2 linked regions of the Daphnia pulex genome follow. The protein of the gene in region 1 binds, or shares a complex with, the protein of each later gene. Links are inferred from orthologs where the notes say so. Each region holds a gene or a part of one and is shown in the gene's direction. Other genes may lie near its edges.

Region 1 (5,721 bases):
TATAAAACTCATAGCACTCTCAGGAAATATCACGTGTAGGTGCAGATGTTTAATAGAATTAAAAGGAGGCCAATGAAATCCCATTCTACAATTTAGTTGAAATCATTACTACCAATTTTTTATGAGGGTAAGAATCCATATGATACCTGCAATCACTCAAGTCTCCTCCATGATTCTTCACAAGTTGCTGTCCTACAGCTACCATTTCTTCAACTAATAAAAAAATATTGATAAGTTTATTTGAATTGATAATCAGGCAATTTACCCATGCTGACTGTTTCTATGGTAAGACTTTTAATATCATTGATGTGATCTCTAGGAATGACTAGAAGGTGGTTTTTAGCAGATGGTTTGATGTCATTAAAAGCCAAATATTTTACATCCTATTTATGAAAGGAAATACAGCATTAGGAAATGTATATCTTTATCTTATTAAGTACCTTATTTTAATATATCTAAGCCATTTCTTACTGTGATTTTCAGGTAATAGCTAGTCTACATTAGATTAATTGATTCCCTGGAAGAAAATAAACCTATTTGCTACAAAACGCATAATTTAATTGGTCAAAAATGAGAGAGGAAGAGCCTTAACCTGATGAACGATAGTTGCTGGCGCCAGACCTTCACAAATCTGGCAAAAAATGCATTTGATGGACTTTTGTACTGAAACCATTTTTAGGGAATTGTACTGTTTGTTTGTTTGTTTGTTTTTTTTTGAAGATAGGTGCACTGGCCGATTGTACTGTTTAGTTCAGTCATACGTAAAAATATTGACACTGACTGAGGGAATGGACTTTTCGCGTAGTCTGCAATTCTGTAAGGATGCCAAATTCCGAAAAGCAACAAGTTGTTTGTCATGATTTCGAATTCGAAGTATTCACTTAGATTCATGCAGTAGGACATAAATATCCTGTAGCATAAAAATCTTAAAAAAAATAAAAAAATATGCATATTTCCAGAGCTATAGAATCCCTGGTCGGTTCTCGGCTGTGTTGGCTTCCCTATCCCGGTTTCAGGGTAAACGTGGTCCGATTTGGAAACTGGAATGAGCGCTCTAGTGAGTGTGTCAGCTACTACGCTCAGCTACTTTTGAGAGCCTAGATGGCTCTGTTTCTAGTTTCCAATGACAGGCCCCGCCCTAAAACCCCCTGAAAATCGGACCACGTTTACCCTAAAATCGAGATGGGGAAGCCAACACGGCCGAGAACCGACCAGGTATCTATTGCTCTGATATTTCTGAAAAATCAATGGATAATATTATTATTAAAATCATAGTTGGCAACGCCCAGGTCTTTATGAACTTCATTCTGCTTTTTAGAGGGAAAAGCATGGGTTGCGTTGGGTAAACGGTCTGGCAGTTTTTTGTAACGAACCTCAGTACAATTTCGCCATTCCAGATTCGTAGTTTCAAGTTGAAATATTGCAGTTTCCCATTCGACTTGGATGATCCCATTTGTTACTGAAAATGGGAAGTCTCGCTGCAGATAGAGAGGTGTTCTTTCGAAGGATAAAGCGATTCTATTCGTCTTGGAAGGTAAGTTGGCGTCAAACAACCATGACAGTTGGATTTCATTTCATGCAATGATATAATATCTTATAGAATGAAGACTCTGAACTTGGGTTTGCTGATATGGATGCATTGGTCACAGCTTTGGGGGCGGATGAGGAAGTTGTGTACAGCAAAACATCTGCTTTACAATCATGGCTTCTTGGATATGAATTGACTGATACAGTTATGGCTCTGTGTGAAGATTCCATCTATTTCCTTGCAAGTAAGAAGAAGATAGATTTCTTACGCCCGCTGGAGGCAATTAAAGAAGAGAAAGGCTTGCCCGCTGTTAAGCTGTTGATTCGTGACAAAGTAAATCATGATACATATTTTCCATGTTAGAAACATGGAACTTCAACAAAGAAATTTTTCTATTTTTTTAGAGCGACAAAGATAAAGCCAATTTTGTGAAACTTATTGAAGCATTGAAAAAATCTAAAAAAGGAAAAAAGCTTGGAGTGTTCTCAAAAGACAGTTTTCATGGAGAGTTCATGGATGCATGGAACAATGCCATCAAGAAAGAAAAATTTGAGTAAGAAACATTAGAAAGTGTTATTAGAAATATATAGATAACAATGTGTGAAATCATATTTTCAGGACAGTTGATGTTAGTTCTGGGGCAGCTTATATGATGGCTCCTAAAGAAGAATCTGAACTGAATGTGATCAAGAAAGCATGTCAAGTATCTGTTGATTTATTCAACAAATATTTAAAAGAACAGGTTATGGAAATTGTAGATGCAGATAAAAAGGTTTGAAAAATTTATTATTTTTTTTTCAATGGGACTTAATTTGAATTTATTTGTCAAGGTCAAACATTCAAAATTAGCCGAAGGAGTGGAGAACGCAGCCACTGACAAGAAATATGTTTCTGGTGTCGATACGGGTCAAGTTGATATGTGTTATCCAGCCATAATTCAAAGTGGAGGGAATTACAGCCTGAAATTTAGTGCAGTGAGGTACATCTATCAATTAGCAAACTTTATGTGAATACATTAATGCTTCTTTTTATTTCACAGTGATGATAAACCCCTTCATTTTGGAGCAATTGTTTGTCTTTTAGGAGCACGTTACAAATCTTACTGCTCCAATATTGGTCGAACCCTTCTTGTCAACCCCACTGAAAAGATGCAGGTAAAGAAAAAGATATTTCCATAAATGAGTCTAGATTACATTCTTATGAACTTGTAGGAGACATACAACTTCTTGTTATCGGTTGAAGACGAAATTTTGAAATCTCTCGTCGAAGGAGCAAAGTTTAGCGATGTTTATAATGCTGCTGAGGCATACGTAAAGAAAGAAAAACCAGCCCTTCTTGACAAGATGACAAAAACCCTTGGCTTTGTTACCGGAATTGAATTTCGAGAAAGCTCTTTGGTGATCGGCCCGAAGAATAACGCAGTTGTCAAAAAAGGAATGGTCTTCAATGTCAATCTTGGATTTGCTGACTTGGAAAATTCTGATGGCACCGATGATCGCTATAAGAAATATGTATTTATATAAATTAATAATATTTATTTATTTATTTGTTTATTTAAATATATATTATTTTATTTTTAAAATATTAGGCTTTGTTTTTGAGCGACACTGTTATTGTATCCGATGTAAGTTATAATTTTGAACTTTTTCTTCTACTTGTTTTTTTGACGAGTAACATTATTTTTAGGGTCCAGCTACTATACTTACTGCTTCGAAAAAAAGGATTAAGAATATCGGTATATTCCTTAAAGATGAATCTGGAGAGGAAGAAGAGGAGGAGGAAGAGGACGAAGAAAAGCCATCACGACAGCCCCAGAATTTAGGTCGAGGCAAGCGGACCGCTATTCTTGATTCTAAACTTCGGGTACATAGTACTTTTCTTCTTATCATTTTCCATTGTTATAATTTATAATTTGTGTTTCTTTCAGGAAACATCTACCGAAGAAAAACGTAAGCAACATCAAAAAGAATTGGCTTCTCATCTAAATGAAGAAGCCAAACTTCGGCTTGCTCAGCAGAAGGTAAAGAAGACAAAAAGAAAATAAATGTGCAAAAGAATAACATTAAAATCTGATTTGGTTTTAGGGACGCTTGGAAGGCGATAAGATCCGGAAATCTACCGTGTCATACAAATCCGGGAAAGATTTGCCAAAAGAAGATGAAGTGAAGGAATTGAAGTTATATGTTGGTAAGCCCATAATTTCTCAAATATTTTTGAATGTGTGCTCTCAAATATGTGCTACAAAGAATGAATAATTCCACATTTAATATTGTAGATCGAAAGTACGAAACGGTCATCATGCCCATTTACGGAATTCCAGTTCCTTTTCACATTTCGACTATAAAGAACATCAGTCAAAGTGTCGAAGGAGACTATACTTACTTGCGTATAAACTTTTTCCACCCGGGTGCAACCATGGGTAGAGCTGAAACAGCTGCGTTTCCAAACCCTGAAGCCACATTCCTCAAAGAAATGTATTATCAAGAAAAGTTTCATTTTTGTTTCTTTTCATTTATATAATATTACATTTTTTAAATGAACGTTTAGTACATACCGAAGCACCAACATCAAAGAACCTGGAGAACTGTCATCTCCCTCTTCAAATCTTAACACGGCGTTCCGTTTAATCAAAGAAGTGCAAAAGCGATTTAAAACACGTGAAGCTGAGGAAAAAGAAAAGGAAGATTTGGTTAAGCAAGACACCCTGCTTCTTTCTCAAAACAAAGCCAATCCTAAATTAAAGGATCTCTACATCAGACCAAATGTAGCTCAGAAAAGAATTTTGGGTTCACTGGAGGCGCATACTAATGGATTTCGTTACACATCCGTAAGAGGAGATAAAGTAGACATCCTCTACAATAATATTCGACATGCTATCTTTCAACCGTGTGATGGTGAGATGATTATTCTTCTGCACTTTCATCTCAAGGTATGTTTTTTCCTTTCAGTTTTTCTACATTACTAGGCATAGTATATAACCAACGATATATATCAAAACTATCACTTTACATTTCAGAATGCCATCATGTTTGGAAAGAAAAAGCACAATGATGTCCAGTTTTACACCGAAGTAGGTGAAATCACTACTGATCTTGGCAAACATCAACACATGCACGACCGCGACGATCTGGCTGCAGAACAGGCCGAACGAGAGTTAAGACATAAATTGAAAACTGCTTTCAAAACATTCTGTGAGAAGGTACGGTCTTGTTAAATGAAATTCTAATTGTCTGTGATCCTTTTTTAACGAATTCCAAAAAAATTAAGGTTGAAACCATGACTAGGAACGAGGTTGAATTTGATGCTCCTTTCCGTGAACTTGGTTTCCCTGGTGTACCTTTCCGCAGTACAGTTCTCCTTCAACCCACTTCAGGATGTCTCGTAAACTTAGTAGAATGGGTAGGTTGACAATTTTTTATAATTATAATGGTAATATTAACAATGATTTCATTTGTTTAGCCTCCTTTCGTCATTTCACTGGAAGACATGGAACTTGTCCATTTCGAACGTGTTCAGTTCCATTTGAAGAACTTCGATATGGTCTTCGTTTTCAAAAATTATCATCGAAAAGTGGCCATGGTGAATGCCGTACCGATGAACATGCTCGATCATGTCAAGGAGTGGCTCAAGTAAAGAAATTCAGACATCTTTGTGTAATGTCCTGTTGATTCTTTATTGTTCATCTCTGTTTAGTTCGTGCGATATTCGTTATACAGAGGGAGTTCAATCCTTGAACTGGTCAAAAATTATGAAAACGATTACGGATGATCCAGAAGCTTTTTTTGATACCGGAGGATGGACTTTCCTTGACCCCGAATCGGGCAGTGAAGGTGGAAGGGGATCTGACGAGGAAGACTCTGAGGAAGATGAATACGCTCCGACCGACGTCGATGATGAAGAGGATGATGAATCTGACAGCGAATATTCAGAAGCAGATTCGTCTGATATGTCAGACGATAGTGACTCGGGCAGTGAAGAAGGTGGTGGCGGTAGCTCCGACGAGTCGGGTAAAGACTGGTCTGATCTTGAACGTGAAGCTGCCGAAGCCGATAGAGAGAACGTCAATTTTGAGGATGAATACTCAAGAAGCCGTGGGGGAAAAGGTGCTGCACCCCCACCTCCATCTAAAAGGTATAGTGATTGCAAGTGTTTTACCGTTACAATCTTCAATAACGTTGCTTTCTTCGACGTTT
Region 2 (11,962 bases), on another chromosome or scaffold:
ACCCTGCTGGAATGAAAATAAACCACCAGGATTAACTGAATTCAACTGTTTTTTAGGAGCTGGTCCGGAAATGCGAACGCCATCCAGGCTATCCAGCGAGCCATGGCGGCCGACCCTCGACTGAAAGTGACTCTACCCAACCCTGTCGATGAGACAACCTTCTAAAAGCAAAAGGGGGATAATCTTGTCGAATCGGCAGAAATTTCAAAACATTCCAATCAGCGTACATTTCCGTTTAATCATTCCGTCTGATACGAAAGCGGCGGCGTATAACATACAAAAGTAGTAGCATTTTTTTTTCTCTCAAAATATGAAATAGAGAAACAAACCAACAAACAAATAAGTACTATGGATGTATGTATAAAATGTTAGAGGTCGTATATCTTATCATTAGATTTTTAATAAATGGGGAATTTTTAAAATGGAAATTATTCCGGACATCCCAGCCAGAAAGGTGTGGCTTCTTGAGGGTAGCGCATGTCAGTGCGTACCAGAGTGTCGTCGAACCGCCAAAACATTTTGTTTTTGAAGAAATACGTTCGCCCTTACAAGTTTACAACACAAAGATATAATTAAAATTTAAGGGAAGTTTAAGCATTTAAAGAATGAATTGAATTACCATCAGTCCACTGCATGGCTGCGTCTATATCGGACGTTACACCTCTCCACCTGGACAGATCGTGCGGATAGCCGGGATCCATTTGTCTTTTAACGTCGTCGTAGCGCCAGTAAAGATTCTTTCTAAAAAAAAAAAAAACAATCGGAGAAAGAATTAACCTAAGTTATTTTTCAAAGTTTTCTAATCGACGCCACGGCCTCGATTATTCTTCTCGTACGTCAAAAAGATAAAAAATACCTAAAGAAGTAAGTCTTTTTATTCTTGCCCCAAACGAAAGCGGCGTCTAGATGGTCTAGTCCGTCCGGTAGTCCGAGCCAGCTCAAATTCGAATTCTCTTCCACCATCCGGTCACCGTCAAATACCCAATAACTTGAACCTATTGAATATTTTTAAAAATAATTAATTAAATGTGTATACAATCTCTACCGGATGGCCAATCAAATTAAATTTTATTAATATATACCGGAAAAGAAGACAATGTGTCCATTAGGACGCTCGTACAGTGCGTCCACTTTGGGCAAGGATTCTGGAAGTTCGCGAAAGAGATGGCGGATGTGGGTTGGATATCCATCGTCTATTGCAGCTCTTTGACGGAGTCGCCAAACGTACTGCGAGCCAAAGGAATCACATTTCCAATTTGCACAGAAATATAGCTGCTGGGGGGTATAACTATTCAAATAGAGAAGTGTCCGGTATATACTTACTTGACCCTTGAAGAAGAACAGCTCGTTGCGGAGGACGGAAACGGCGTCAAAGTGGCCCTGGCAAATATCCGGAATCCTGGGTGATTGATCTTCGTTTGTGGCGTTCAACTTCCTGCGATGGTCATCCACCGTTTCGTAGTCGCCCTCGTAATTGATCGTCACCGTTCTCTCGGTCGTCGTCGTCGTCGTAATCTCTTCGTCCCTTACAAAAACGGTCGTCGCTTCCGTTTTCCCGCTTCCGCTTTTCGAACTGTGATCGTCGTCAACCTCGTTGTAGTCTTCGTAATCATCGTAGGGCGTTGTCGTCCTAGACGTGGGTCTTGTAGGCCTGGGCTGCGTCGTCGTGATGGTCGACACCTTCTCGGTGGTAGTTTGGGGTTTCGGCGTTGTGGTGGTAGTGGTGGTTGTCGTCGTTGTAACATCTTCATTCCGATCGTCGTGCACTTGCCTCGAAACTATATAATTTAATGAAAACAATTTTCAATTGATCGATGAATTGTGAGTGGCAAATTTCCTTACTGTAGAGCTGATACATTGCTAGAATGTCATCGTAATCCAATTGAAGATTCGGTTGCGATCCTTTGTAGTAGGGAAACATGACGGAGCCCGGCACGGGGGAATGTGCTAGTCCTAGGGAATGCCCTAGTTCGTGCGTTGCCACGGTGAAAAAGTCAATTCCTTATGAAATATTTAAAACGAAAAAGAAAATTGAATAACACAAATTTAGACTGGAAGTTTTATAAGAAGGGACTAACCGGAACCCTCGTCCGGGTTAACGGTCCACGGCTCGTCTTCATCGAAATGAACGTCGCCACCGAAATTGTCAAATTCATAAGGGTAGTAAGCATGGGCTAAGGTGTAACCAACACCGTCGAAAGGATACCTGCAATTTTTTGGTTTAATTCAATTGAAATAACTTGAACACATTTTATAGGTGAAATCTATAACCTATCGCCATGGTATCCGCGACCGAAAAGGATAGTGATGTCCGCGTCTGGAGTTGGTACTTGCACAAACTTGAGATGGGCATAATCCGACCATACCTTGAAGGCTAAAAAGATCAAATTAAAATAATCCCGAAAATGATAAAGTCACAAGAAACAAATTTACCTCTTTCAAGTTGTTGAATTGTCGTTTCTTCATCGCCTACTTTGGGCGACCAGTTAGCTAAACTTTCGAAACGCAAGGGAAATGAATAAATGATTAACAGTTGCAAAAAGGCTTGGTTGATTAGCTCTTAAAACATTCTTACAAGTAAGTGATTCTTCGTTTGTTCCAACCGGGTGCGCCGACCACGAACCTTTTCCTTCGCCGTCTGTTTGACTGCTGTTCGCTATTATCCAATTCCACGTCTTTGTTACCGCAACGAGGAGTCACCAGCAGCTTTATTACGTTAATGATAGGTTCAGATTACAATGTTACCAAATTTTCGTTAAGCGGAAAATGAACGGGAAACAAGTTCACGAACGGTTTCAGAGGGCAACAAATTTACTTGTAAGGTGTCGTTGTCCATCCTTCCAGTTGGCGAGAGACCCCCGAAACTCTGCATGGTTCTGATTGCATCAATCACGGCTTCTTCTCTGTACAAGGCTTCCGAGTTGGAATCCTGGCGGCCTTCTAGGTAACCAAATTTTTGCAGAAACCCCATCTTACCAAAAAATGAAAGGATTAAGATTAAATACGAACTTTAAATTTTTCGATTGTTTTGTTGGTTACATAATAAAACGAACGGGACACTTACAACTACGTTTACAGTCGCTCCTTCAACATTTCTTGGGGATGCAACGTTATGATTTTCCGTGGGTGAAACGTTCCGAATCGATTCCGGAGAGGACAAGTTTTGAGGATGGATTGACGCTGATGGTTTGGTGCTCACGGACAGGGATGAAAGCGGAGGCTGGGCGGTGGTGACGACGGCTGGAGCAGCTGCTTTTAGGCTAGAAGACTGGGGAATTTTTCTAGTGGCGTTAATTGGTTTAGAAAGTACTGGGGCGCAGTCAGAGCCCATAGAACACATCAGCCAAAACATCAGCAGAGACTTGAACGTTAACACGGAATTCGGCATTGCGCTCTACTCTAGTCGAGACGGAGTGGACGAAAGCACTCAGCATACACGACGGTATCCACTTGAAGACTGAATTCCGTCTCGAACGTTTTAAACTTGATGTCTCGGTTTCACTTTTGAGGTCAACTACCCGTCCAACAGATTCTGACGTCGCAGTAGGAAGGAAATAAATGTGAGAGGAAATCCGTATTCCTTAGAGATCCTGGTTTCGCTTCCGACTAATAAAATTAAATAAAAATTTCTGTTTGATTTCCTGAATGAAAACCAGAAGTCTTGGTTTACACCCATTTTCTTCCGCTTTCAGACGGAAGTTGCCAATCTTTTTGGGGGTGAGAATCACTTCCTGTGTTGCGCGACTCTGGTGCTCAGTGTGGTTTCGAAACAATATTTCAGTGGTAAACAATAACTATCGATGGGCATTTGATGACTTAGAGAGATCTGCTCGTCATCATAACCTTTGGCTAATGTAAACAAAATGTCAAGATCTGAAAATTGGTCATCTGGAATTAATCATAGCTATACTTATAATCTCCCTATATTAAAATATATTAAGAAATTATGTTTTATTTCCACATTTTTATTGACCAAGAGAAAACTCGAGTCAAGTGCGAGGAATATTTTAATAGCACATATACTTCATACGAAAAGGCTGATCGGTTTGTGATCGAGTTCGCATACACTCGGCTGGTTGTTAACGTAAGCGATTTCTTACATGAAGTCATCGGAATCGTTTCCATCATCATCTTTATTGGTCTTCATGTTCGTTTGCTTCAGCAAGCGATCGTAGCTCCTAAACATGTAAAAATTAACATTTCTGTGTAAAAAAATAAATATAGTGTTTAGTAAATCAAGGTCACCTTAGTTCAGCTTCATCCTTTTTTCGCTTTTCTTCTTCTCTCTCCCTTTCTTTTTGTTCTTTAAGGAGCCTTTTCTTGTCGTCTCTTTCTGCACAGTCTCTCTGTTCTCTTTCAAACCTTAAATCAGGTTTTTTCTCAACTTTGGTTTTGTTGAGACGGTTTACAATTTCATTAATTCTTTTCTCCACCCTAATCTTGCGAACCTATAAAACTTGATTGTTAGATAATGGATAGGAACACATTAAGAAGGAAATCTGTACATCTTTTTCTTTGTGAAATCCAACTTGTCCAACTTCCATACCAGGAGTCTTTTTCAAATTAGACCACAGGGTGTAAACAACATCAATGTTGTTCATTTTATTCCCTTGGATGCTGTTCGCTTTACATAATTGTGCTGCATCTTCTAAAATGGCTGCTGGAATATCATCAATTACTTGACCCTACAAATAAGAATAGTAACAGAGCTGTATTAAAAATTGTTTTATTTGATTTAATAAAAAAAACCCTTACCTTGTTTAGTCGTATGTAAACATGGGCTGACGATAGCTTGTCAACGTGGAACCAAACATCTTCAGGCCATCCCCACTTGATCAACTCCTCATCTAGTTGTTACTACAAGGATTAATAATCCCATTTTATATCTTACTGATTGATTACTTCTTACTTTCATGTTTTTCTTCTCCCATGAAAAGTGCGCAACTGGGTTGAACGGCGGTGCTGACGAAATAGAAAACCATTTTAAATCTTAAAAATATAGTCAACTAATTTGAGAGGGCCAGCGAGAAAACATTCAGATCCAAATTCCAATTTTTTAACACGTGGATATACTATTTTCTACAATAGTAAATGCAACTTGACAATCCGCCTTGCGGCTGACAGTACTTCGGATAACACTAGAAGAATACGGTCGATCCCTCTTGACCACTTTTTGATCTTTTGATCATGTAAAGCTCTAGAAAATCTATGGTAGTGAGTGCCATCTGGAGTCTCAACATTGTAGAATCCACATTCCACAATCCTGAAATCCTATCCAATCCAATCAACGAAAAATCCTCTTCCCCAGTTTAAATTTCTACTTAAAAATAATTTTTCTATTAAACTATGATTTATTTCAAATGTTCAAATACGGTATCAAATATCTTTAAAATCTAGCGTTGCCCAAACGAGTTTCACTGGCAACGCTTTATGGCCATTCCTTATACTTCTCCGCTCGGCGCGAAGTAAAATAACCGACTGCTGGTGTTTTACATTGTTACGATTATTCTCTTGCTTTCCAGCTCGTCTAGTTGGATTTTTATTCATTTCGCCAATCGGGATTACAATTTTTTCGTTGTGTGATGGATTTTTTAGAGTTCTCTGATGTTTCAGCTGAAATTAAAGGCTCAATGGTAAGAGGCTCGCTAAATTGTCATATCGGCTGCACGTGAATCTTCTTCTATTGACAAAATTTTTTCTTCTAGACTCCAGGCCGTCTAAAACTAACGGATCAGAGTATCGTGTTCAAGAATTCCAAAACGGGTAAAGTTGAACAGATAAGTTCTTCTGACATTGAATTGGTTAACTGGCAGCGACTAGCTGGTGCTTGGGGACTACGTGTATTTCTCAGAACCGGAGCACTTCATCGCTATGGTGGATTTAAAGATTCAGTAAGTAATTTTTTAACATTTGAAAGCTTTTTTATTTTCAATTTCCTATTAATTTGGTTTTGTCTAGGATCAAGACAAGCTGGCAAAGTTTTTTACTCAAACCTACAAAAAAGACATGCTGGAGAAAGAGCTGAGTGTCAAAGGATGGAATTGGGGCCGTGCTGAGTTCAGTGGTTCAACTATGTCTTTTGAAGTTGGAAACCATACTGCCTTTGAGATTCCTCTAAGCAATGTGTCCCAATGCACAACAGGGAAAAATGAAGTCACCTTAGAATTCCATCAGGTGGGTACTATTATGACAAACAATGCTGCAGACATCTTACCTACTGCTTTATTTTCTCTAAAACTAGAATGATGATGCATCAGTCAGTCTGATGGAGATGCGTCTCTTCATTCAGTCCAATGATCAAGGTGGAGATGATGCTGTTGAAGCATTCCAGAAGCAGGTGATGCCTAAAGCAAGTGTCATCAGTGCTACTGGTGATGCAATTGCCATCTTCAGAGAAGTTCAGTGCCTCACACCAAGGTATTTTCTATCATTTGTACTTAAAACATTTGCTCATTTAGTTTTTATCCTTGACAGAGGTCGCTATGACATCAAAGTTTTCCAATCATTCTTTCAACTTCATGGTAAGACATTTGACTACAAGATTCCAGCCTCTACTGTACTTCGCCTGTTTTTACTTCCGCACAAAGATGGTCGGCAAATTTTCTTTGTAGTAAGTTACACATCTCTGAAAAAGAAATTAAGAAAAGAATCATCATTAATCTACATATTTTTATTGTGTAATTCAGGTAAGCCTTGATCCACCTATTAAGCAAGGTCAGACGCGTTACCACTTTTTGGTCCTTCTCTTTAACAAAGATGAGGAGACATCTTTTGAAATACCATTATCAGAGTGAGTAATTTTGAATAATTCAACATTTTCAACACGTCATCAAAAAACGTTTGTCCTAACAGGGAGGAATTGAAAGAAAAGTTTGAAGGCCGACTTTCTCGTGATTGTAATGGTCCAACTTATGAAGTTATGAGTACCGTCATGAAGGCCATGGTTAACCGAAAGGTCACTATACCTGGAAATTTTACTGGGTAAAATTTTATATTTTCATTTCAAGTGTTCTAGACTGATTTCACAGTTTCCTTCTTTTTTAATTATTTATAGCCATTCTGGAACCCCCGCTGTTGGATGTTCCTACAAAGCAGCAGCCGGATACTTGTATCCGCTAGAACGTGGTTTTATTTACGTTCATAAACCTCCTATTCACATTCGGTAGAATTCGTTTCCCTGAAATTTTTGTTTGCATATTTTTTAATTTATTCTTCCTTCGCACAGATTCGAAGAAATTGCAAGTGTTAACTTTGCTCGTGGCGGAGGAAGTACCCGTTCTTTTGACTTCGAAGTTGAGACCAAAAATGGGGTTGTTCACACCTTCAGTAGCATTGAAAAGGAGGAATATAACCGCTTGTACGATTTCGTAAACAACAAGAAGCTCCGCGTCAAAAATACTGGCCGATCCGTAAGATCTAGCAACCCATTGATAGTGTTTGTACTAATCAGTTTTTGTTGTACGTAATAGGACAAGTCCGCTCATGGGGATGATTTTGGCGATTCGGACGAAGAGGAAGCGCCCGACGCATATTTGGCTCGTGTCAAGGCTGAAGGCAAACAGCGTGACGCAGTTGGTACGTTTTCCTTGCTTAACGAAACAAAAGCCTTTCCACTAACATGTGCCAGTTGCAGGTGACGATTCGGGTGGAGATTCTGATGAAAATGACGAAGACTTCAAACCTGGTGAGGAAAGTGACGTAGCAGAAGAATACGACTCCAATGTGGCTACGACCGACTCGGAAGCATCCGACGCATCAGGTGGAGCCAAGGCTAGTAGTGCTGCGAAGGCTAGTAGTGCTGCCAAGGCTGGCAGTGGTTCTGGCAGTGATTCCGATTCCTCGTCCAAAAAGAAGAAAAAGAAGGACAAAAAAGAGGAGAAGGAGAAAAAGGAAAAGGAACCCAAGAAATCCAGTAGCTCGAAATCGGCGGTAATATCATCTTTCAATTTGCCAATAATTTCAGAATTAAAGTTTTTATCGTTTATTAATTTTGTTGTAGGCCCCTAAAACTCCCAGATCGCACAAATCCAAGAAGGATAAGGATGCAAACAGGCCCAAACGACCACAGTCGTCGTACATGCTGTGGTTGAACGACTCACGCGAACAGATTAAAAAAGATAACCCTGGCATAAGTGTCACAGATCTGATGAAAAAAGGTGGCGAAATGTGGCAGAAGGTTGAAGATCGATCTATATGGGAAGCCAAAGCTAAAGTTGCTAAAGAGGCCTATGATAAGGCTATGAAAGAATATACTGCGTCTGGAGGAGGATCGGCAGTTGCTAGCAGTTCTTCCAAAAGCAAGGACAAAGAGGAGAAAGCCGCCAAGTCGTCCAAGTCCTCTAGCAAGTCGTCAACCAAAACGCCAACTAAAACGCCAACCAAAGCTGCTAAAACAACTCCAGTTAAATCTCCTGGCGACTTCAAAAGTAAGGAATACATCAGCACCGACGAAGAATCCTCCTCAGCGTCTGAAGGCGCCAAGAAGAAGTCCAAGGGCTCCAGCAAGAAGACTGACAAGAAAAAGGTTGAAAAAGAAGAAAGCGAGGAAGAAGAAATGGAAAGTGAACCAGAGTCCAGCGATGTGGCTGACAGCGATTGAAGTGGGTGTATCACATTATAGTGTCATAAAAACGTTATTATAAAGGCGTCCGTTGTAGCTGCGTTCTCCGTTATAATACAATGTAATTTCGTTTCTTTATAATCGCCTTTCTCGACTAGTCGACTACATGTGGATGAAATGTTTGAAGACCGAAGTAGAAACTTCCATATTCCCTACATCAAACTAGTTCCCGATCCTTTTAAAAATAAAATGTTGACCACTGAGTAAAGTTAACCAAGCGGACAGATTAAATATAGTCTCGATTGCCACAAAAGTTGAACCATTTCAGTCTAATTTGGTTAAGTTCTCTGAACTGACTACCAAACCTCCGAAAGAGATTTTTTTAGCTAACCCAATACGAAGTTTGGGTCTACGTGATAAACGTATCTATTACGGTAATAGATACGTTAAGTATTACCCAGTATTAAACACAAAACCCCTGAAACATTCTCATCCTCTCGAGATGGTATTCAATTATGTACAACTGTATGTAGAAAAAATGCATTTCAACCTAACTTCATTTTGTTTATTTCTAAAAAACAATTAAATTTCTTTACTACACAAATTCATTTACAGTTCAAAGGGAGTCGACGATTTCCTCCTCCAACATGAAACCAGTGAAATGGGTGTGGTGGAAATTGTCATCGTGCAAATACGCTCCTGACGAAAGGTAAGAAATTTCTAACCAGACTGTATCTCCTTTTTGTAAGTTTAGAGTCGACTGGAGGGTCACAGGGCTCCATTGATTAGCGGAGACGAAAATGGAATCTTGAACCGACGCGAGTCCAATTCGATTGCCGTTCAAAAAAAGAGAGACTTGTAAACCGAATTCATTTTTCACACTATACGATGATAAGCAAGAATCAGAGCAAGCAGGAAAAAACGCCAGTCCCGCGAAGGAGAAGAAATAAGTTCCCTTGACGGATGCCTTGAATTTTCCTGATGGGTTCATGGCCTTTCCGACGTTTACTTGCTCAAAATCAAACGTAATTGGGGTGTTGGGCTTGTTGAATTTTTGGTTTCTCTGAACGTAAAAATATGTTGGCACCGATTTGACGTCAATGTATCCAATAAATTTCTCGAAACCTTTTCGTAATAAATCAGTTTTAAATTGAATAAATAATTAATGCAAAACAAATATTTTACCGGGATCTTGAAAAAATCGGTGAAATCACAATAAACAGATTCCATCATTTTATGTCCTTTGATGGAAAAGAAACCGCTCAGGGTGTAACCCATATCCTTTAGATCATCACAGGACGTTGGCATTGGAGTAGCGATTTCTGCAGGTTTTGTCGAGGGTTCTGGCTGTCTGGAATATCCGGAGCATGTCAAATTGCCCAGTGTGTGGATACCGGAGGAAGATTGCGATTGAGTTCGACCAAAATGAAGGCGAGTGATTGGTAAAATATTTTTGTCAGTGATAACACCTGAACGAATCAAAATGTTTTTGAGACATATTATTTTTAAAATTTTCTGATGACATGACTGATTTACCTTTGTCGGATAACTGCCGTTGTGCGAGACTGTCACAGTTGCACATGACTGAAGAAACGGCACAATTCCCATCAATTCCACACTGACAGGTGGGAATTCCATATGCGTTGTTTCCGGCCCAGAAATATTGTGAATTCCCATTTCTGTCGTTCCACCAGGAGTACATGGTATTTTCCAATTTGTGCGGCGCGTTGAAGCAATCGTACTGGGATACATTAAAAATTATGATAAATTCCCTTAACAGGATAGCTACGGTATTCAGATACCAACGAAACTTACTGTGATCGACTGACGGCATTCACTAGACAAATCGGTCAAAGCTTTTATTTGTGCCATGGACGCTTCATATTTGATGGAACGCGAATAACATCCGGCCCCTGCGCAGTGATCCACGTTGATAGGAGCGAGACTATCGTGTTTAATTGTGGTCGATCCTTATTTTTAAGTAAAGAAAAGTGAATGTCTTTTTTTGTTTCAATTAGCGAAGGAAACACAAATTCATTTTACCTGTTGTCATGTCGCAGTACACGTAAATTGGAGTTTCGCCGACGCCTTGTCCGTCCGGATCGATCCATTGCATTCCGGATGGAATCGAAACATCCATTGCACGGATTTCTGCGCACGTTCTGCGGATCTCACCCATGGGAATATCTGGTATTTTACGCGCGATCTGATCAAATATGGAAGGTAAAATCTTTTCGAGTGTTTTCACTTTGGTCTCCAGTTCCGCTACGTTCTTCAACAAATCTTGTTGTTTTGCATTCTGTTGTAGAAATAGACGCATGTTTTGTTTTATTCCCCAAAAAATAAATGATCAAATTAATCTATCCATTATAGTTAGCCACGAAAAGGTTAAAAGAAAAAGGGTGAAGCTAAGTATATAGAGATTAAACGTACACTGTTGTCGAGTTGATTCTTCAGTTTCTTTACCAGATTTTCAAGTTCTCCAATTTTAGTCTGAACATCGTCTGGCTTGGTCGACTTAGCTGGCTCGGCTTTCTTGATTTTGTTGGGCTTACGCGGCTTGTTGACTAGGCCTAGTTTATTGGCCGACTTGTCTCCTGGCTTACCTGCTGTCTTACCTACTTGCTTGTCTCCTGGCTTCTCCGTCTTGACTTCTGACTTGGCCGTCTTGCCTGAGTCGCCTTGAGCATCAACAGTACCGAAAGAAAAACAAATAATAGAGCAACATAAAATTAATAACACGGGGATAGAGAAACGAATCATTTTCATTCTTTCCGTCTTAATCTAACTGGCTCTGGTCACAATTTGGTGTTTCAATATATAGCCATTTCAGAGCCGAGCGTTGGATCCGGAGTATGATTCTTGCCCGTTTTTATGTCAGGTTTTTATCTTAAATGGATTATACATGTAATAAAACATACTTTAAGCTTTAAACGTTTCTATCTGAACATTTATAGCTATTGCCGTTGTGCAATGTCCATGAGGTTTGTTTTAACGTTAAAAATCTTCAGAAACATCAACACAAAATATTTGACGAAACTAGACGAAGATTATAACCACATGTTGAAACCTATTTTTTAAAATTAATGATTGATATTATTATTTATTATCCAATTGGTGTTGGTTTAGAATTTGCTGCATATTTTTCAATCTACTAAAGACAGTTTTAACTTTGGCTTTGAGTAGTGTGCAATCTACGGCCTCCTTTGAGATTACGCAAGTATGTGATAAGAAAACTGTAGATGAGAATAAACCTACAGGCTACAGTACATGTATGAAGTCGATAAGTACATAAAGTTCATAAACTTTATGCTTATTTCTGATTGTTTCACAGCCGCTGTAACAGCTTATAGGATTATAACTCGGAATCGTCGATAAGCCTATGGACCCCATATATATATA

Evidence for each region. Proteins that work in one complex are often made in the same cells at the same time.
Region 2: FACT complex subunit spt16-like (region 1) and FACT complex subunit Ssrp1-like share a complex: the UniProt entries of both Drosophila melanogaster proteins name them as parts of the FACT complex. The link is inferred for Daphnia pulex from reciprocal best matches to the Drosophila melanogaster genes dre4 and Ssrp.

Annotation. Positions count from the first base shown.
Region 1 is NC_060017.1:5,830,657-5,836,377, forward strand, and holds the start of FACT complex subunit spt16-like, read left to right. Parts: upstream 1-1,207; 5' UTR 1,208-1,465; coding exon 1,466-1,534; intron 1,535-1,600; coding exon 1,601-1,861; intron 1,862-1,932; coding exon 1,933-2,081; intron 2,082-2,146; coding exon 2,147-2,300; intron 2,301-2,358; coding exon 2,359-2,507; intron 2,508-2,567; coding exon 2,568-2,682; intron 2,683-2,739; coding exon 2,740-3,039; intron 3,040-3,116; coding exon 3,117-3,152; intron 3,153-3,214; coding exon 3,215-3,391; intron 3,392-3,455; coding exon 3,456-3,548; intron 3,549-3,612; coding exon 3,613-3,715; intron 3,716-3,803; coding exon 3,804-4,002; intron 4,003-4,075; coding exon 4,076-4,457; intron 4,458-4,544; coding exon 4,545-4,727; intron 4,728-4,795; coding exon 4,796-4,927; intron 4,928-4,987; coding exon 4,988-5,157; intron 5,158-5,221; coding exon 5,222-5,659; intron 5,660-5,721. Other genes in the region: adenosine 5'-monophosphoramidase HINT3-like, read right to left, coding at 1-85, 147-213, 266-383, 593-673. UniProt on the Drosophila melanogaster protein: Component of the FACT complex, a general chromatin factor that acts to reorganize nucleosomes. The FACT complex is involved in multiple processes that require DNA as a template such as mRNA elongation, DNA replication and DNA repair.
Region 2 is NC_060026.1:11,625,304-11,637,265, reverse strand, and holds FACT complex subunit Ssrp1-like, read left to right. Parts: upstream 1-5,414; 5' UTR 5,415-5,582; coding exon 5,583-5,633; intron 5,634-5,705; coding exon 5,706-5,891; intron 5,892-5,958; coding exon 5,959-6,174; intron 6,175-6,241; coding exon 6,242-6,417; intron 6,418-6,474; coding exon 6,475-6,610; intron 6,611-6,686; coding exon 6,687-6,790; intron 6,791-6,852; coding exon 6,853-6,981; intron 6,982-7,054; coding exon 7,055-7,162; intron 7,163-7,225; coding exon 7,226-7,409; intron 7,410-7,469; coding exon 7,470-7,575; intron 7,576-7,627; coding exon 7,628-7,929; intron 7,930-7,999; coding exon 8,000-8,599; 3' UTR 8,600-8,701; downstream 8,702-11,962. Other genes in the region: urocanate hydratase-like, read left to right, coding at 57-165; matrix metalloproteinase-2-like, read right to left, coding at 429-544, 620-741, 857-995, 1,083-1,227, 1,324-1,778, 1,843-2,001, 2,079-2,206, 2,272-2,374 and 4 more; coiled-coil domain-containing protein 25-like, read right to left, coding at 4,097-4,178, 4,246-4,448, 4,506-4,685, 4,756-4,847, 4,910-4,982; uncharacterized protein LOC124205820, read right to left, coding at 9,566-9,685, 9,746-10,029, 10,097-10,301, 10,376-10,530, 10,604-10,859, 10,994-11,329. UniProt on the Drosophila melanogaster protein: Component of the FACT complex, a general chromatin factor that acts to reorganize nucleosomes. The FACT complex is involved in multiple processes that require DNA as a template such as mRNA elongation, DNA replication and DNA repair.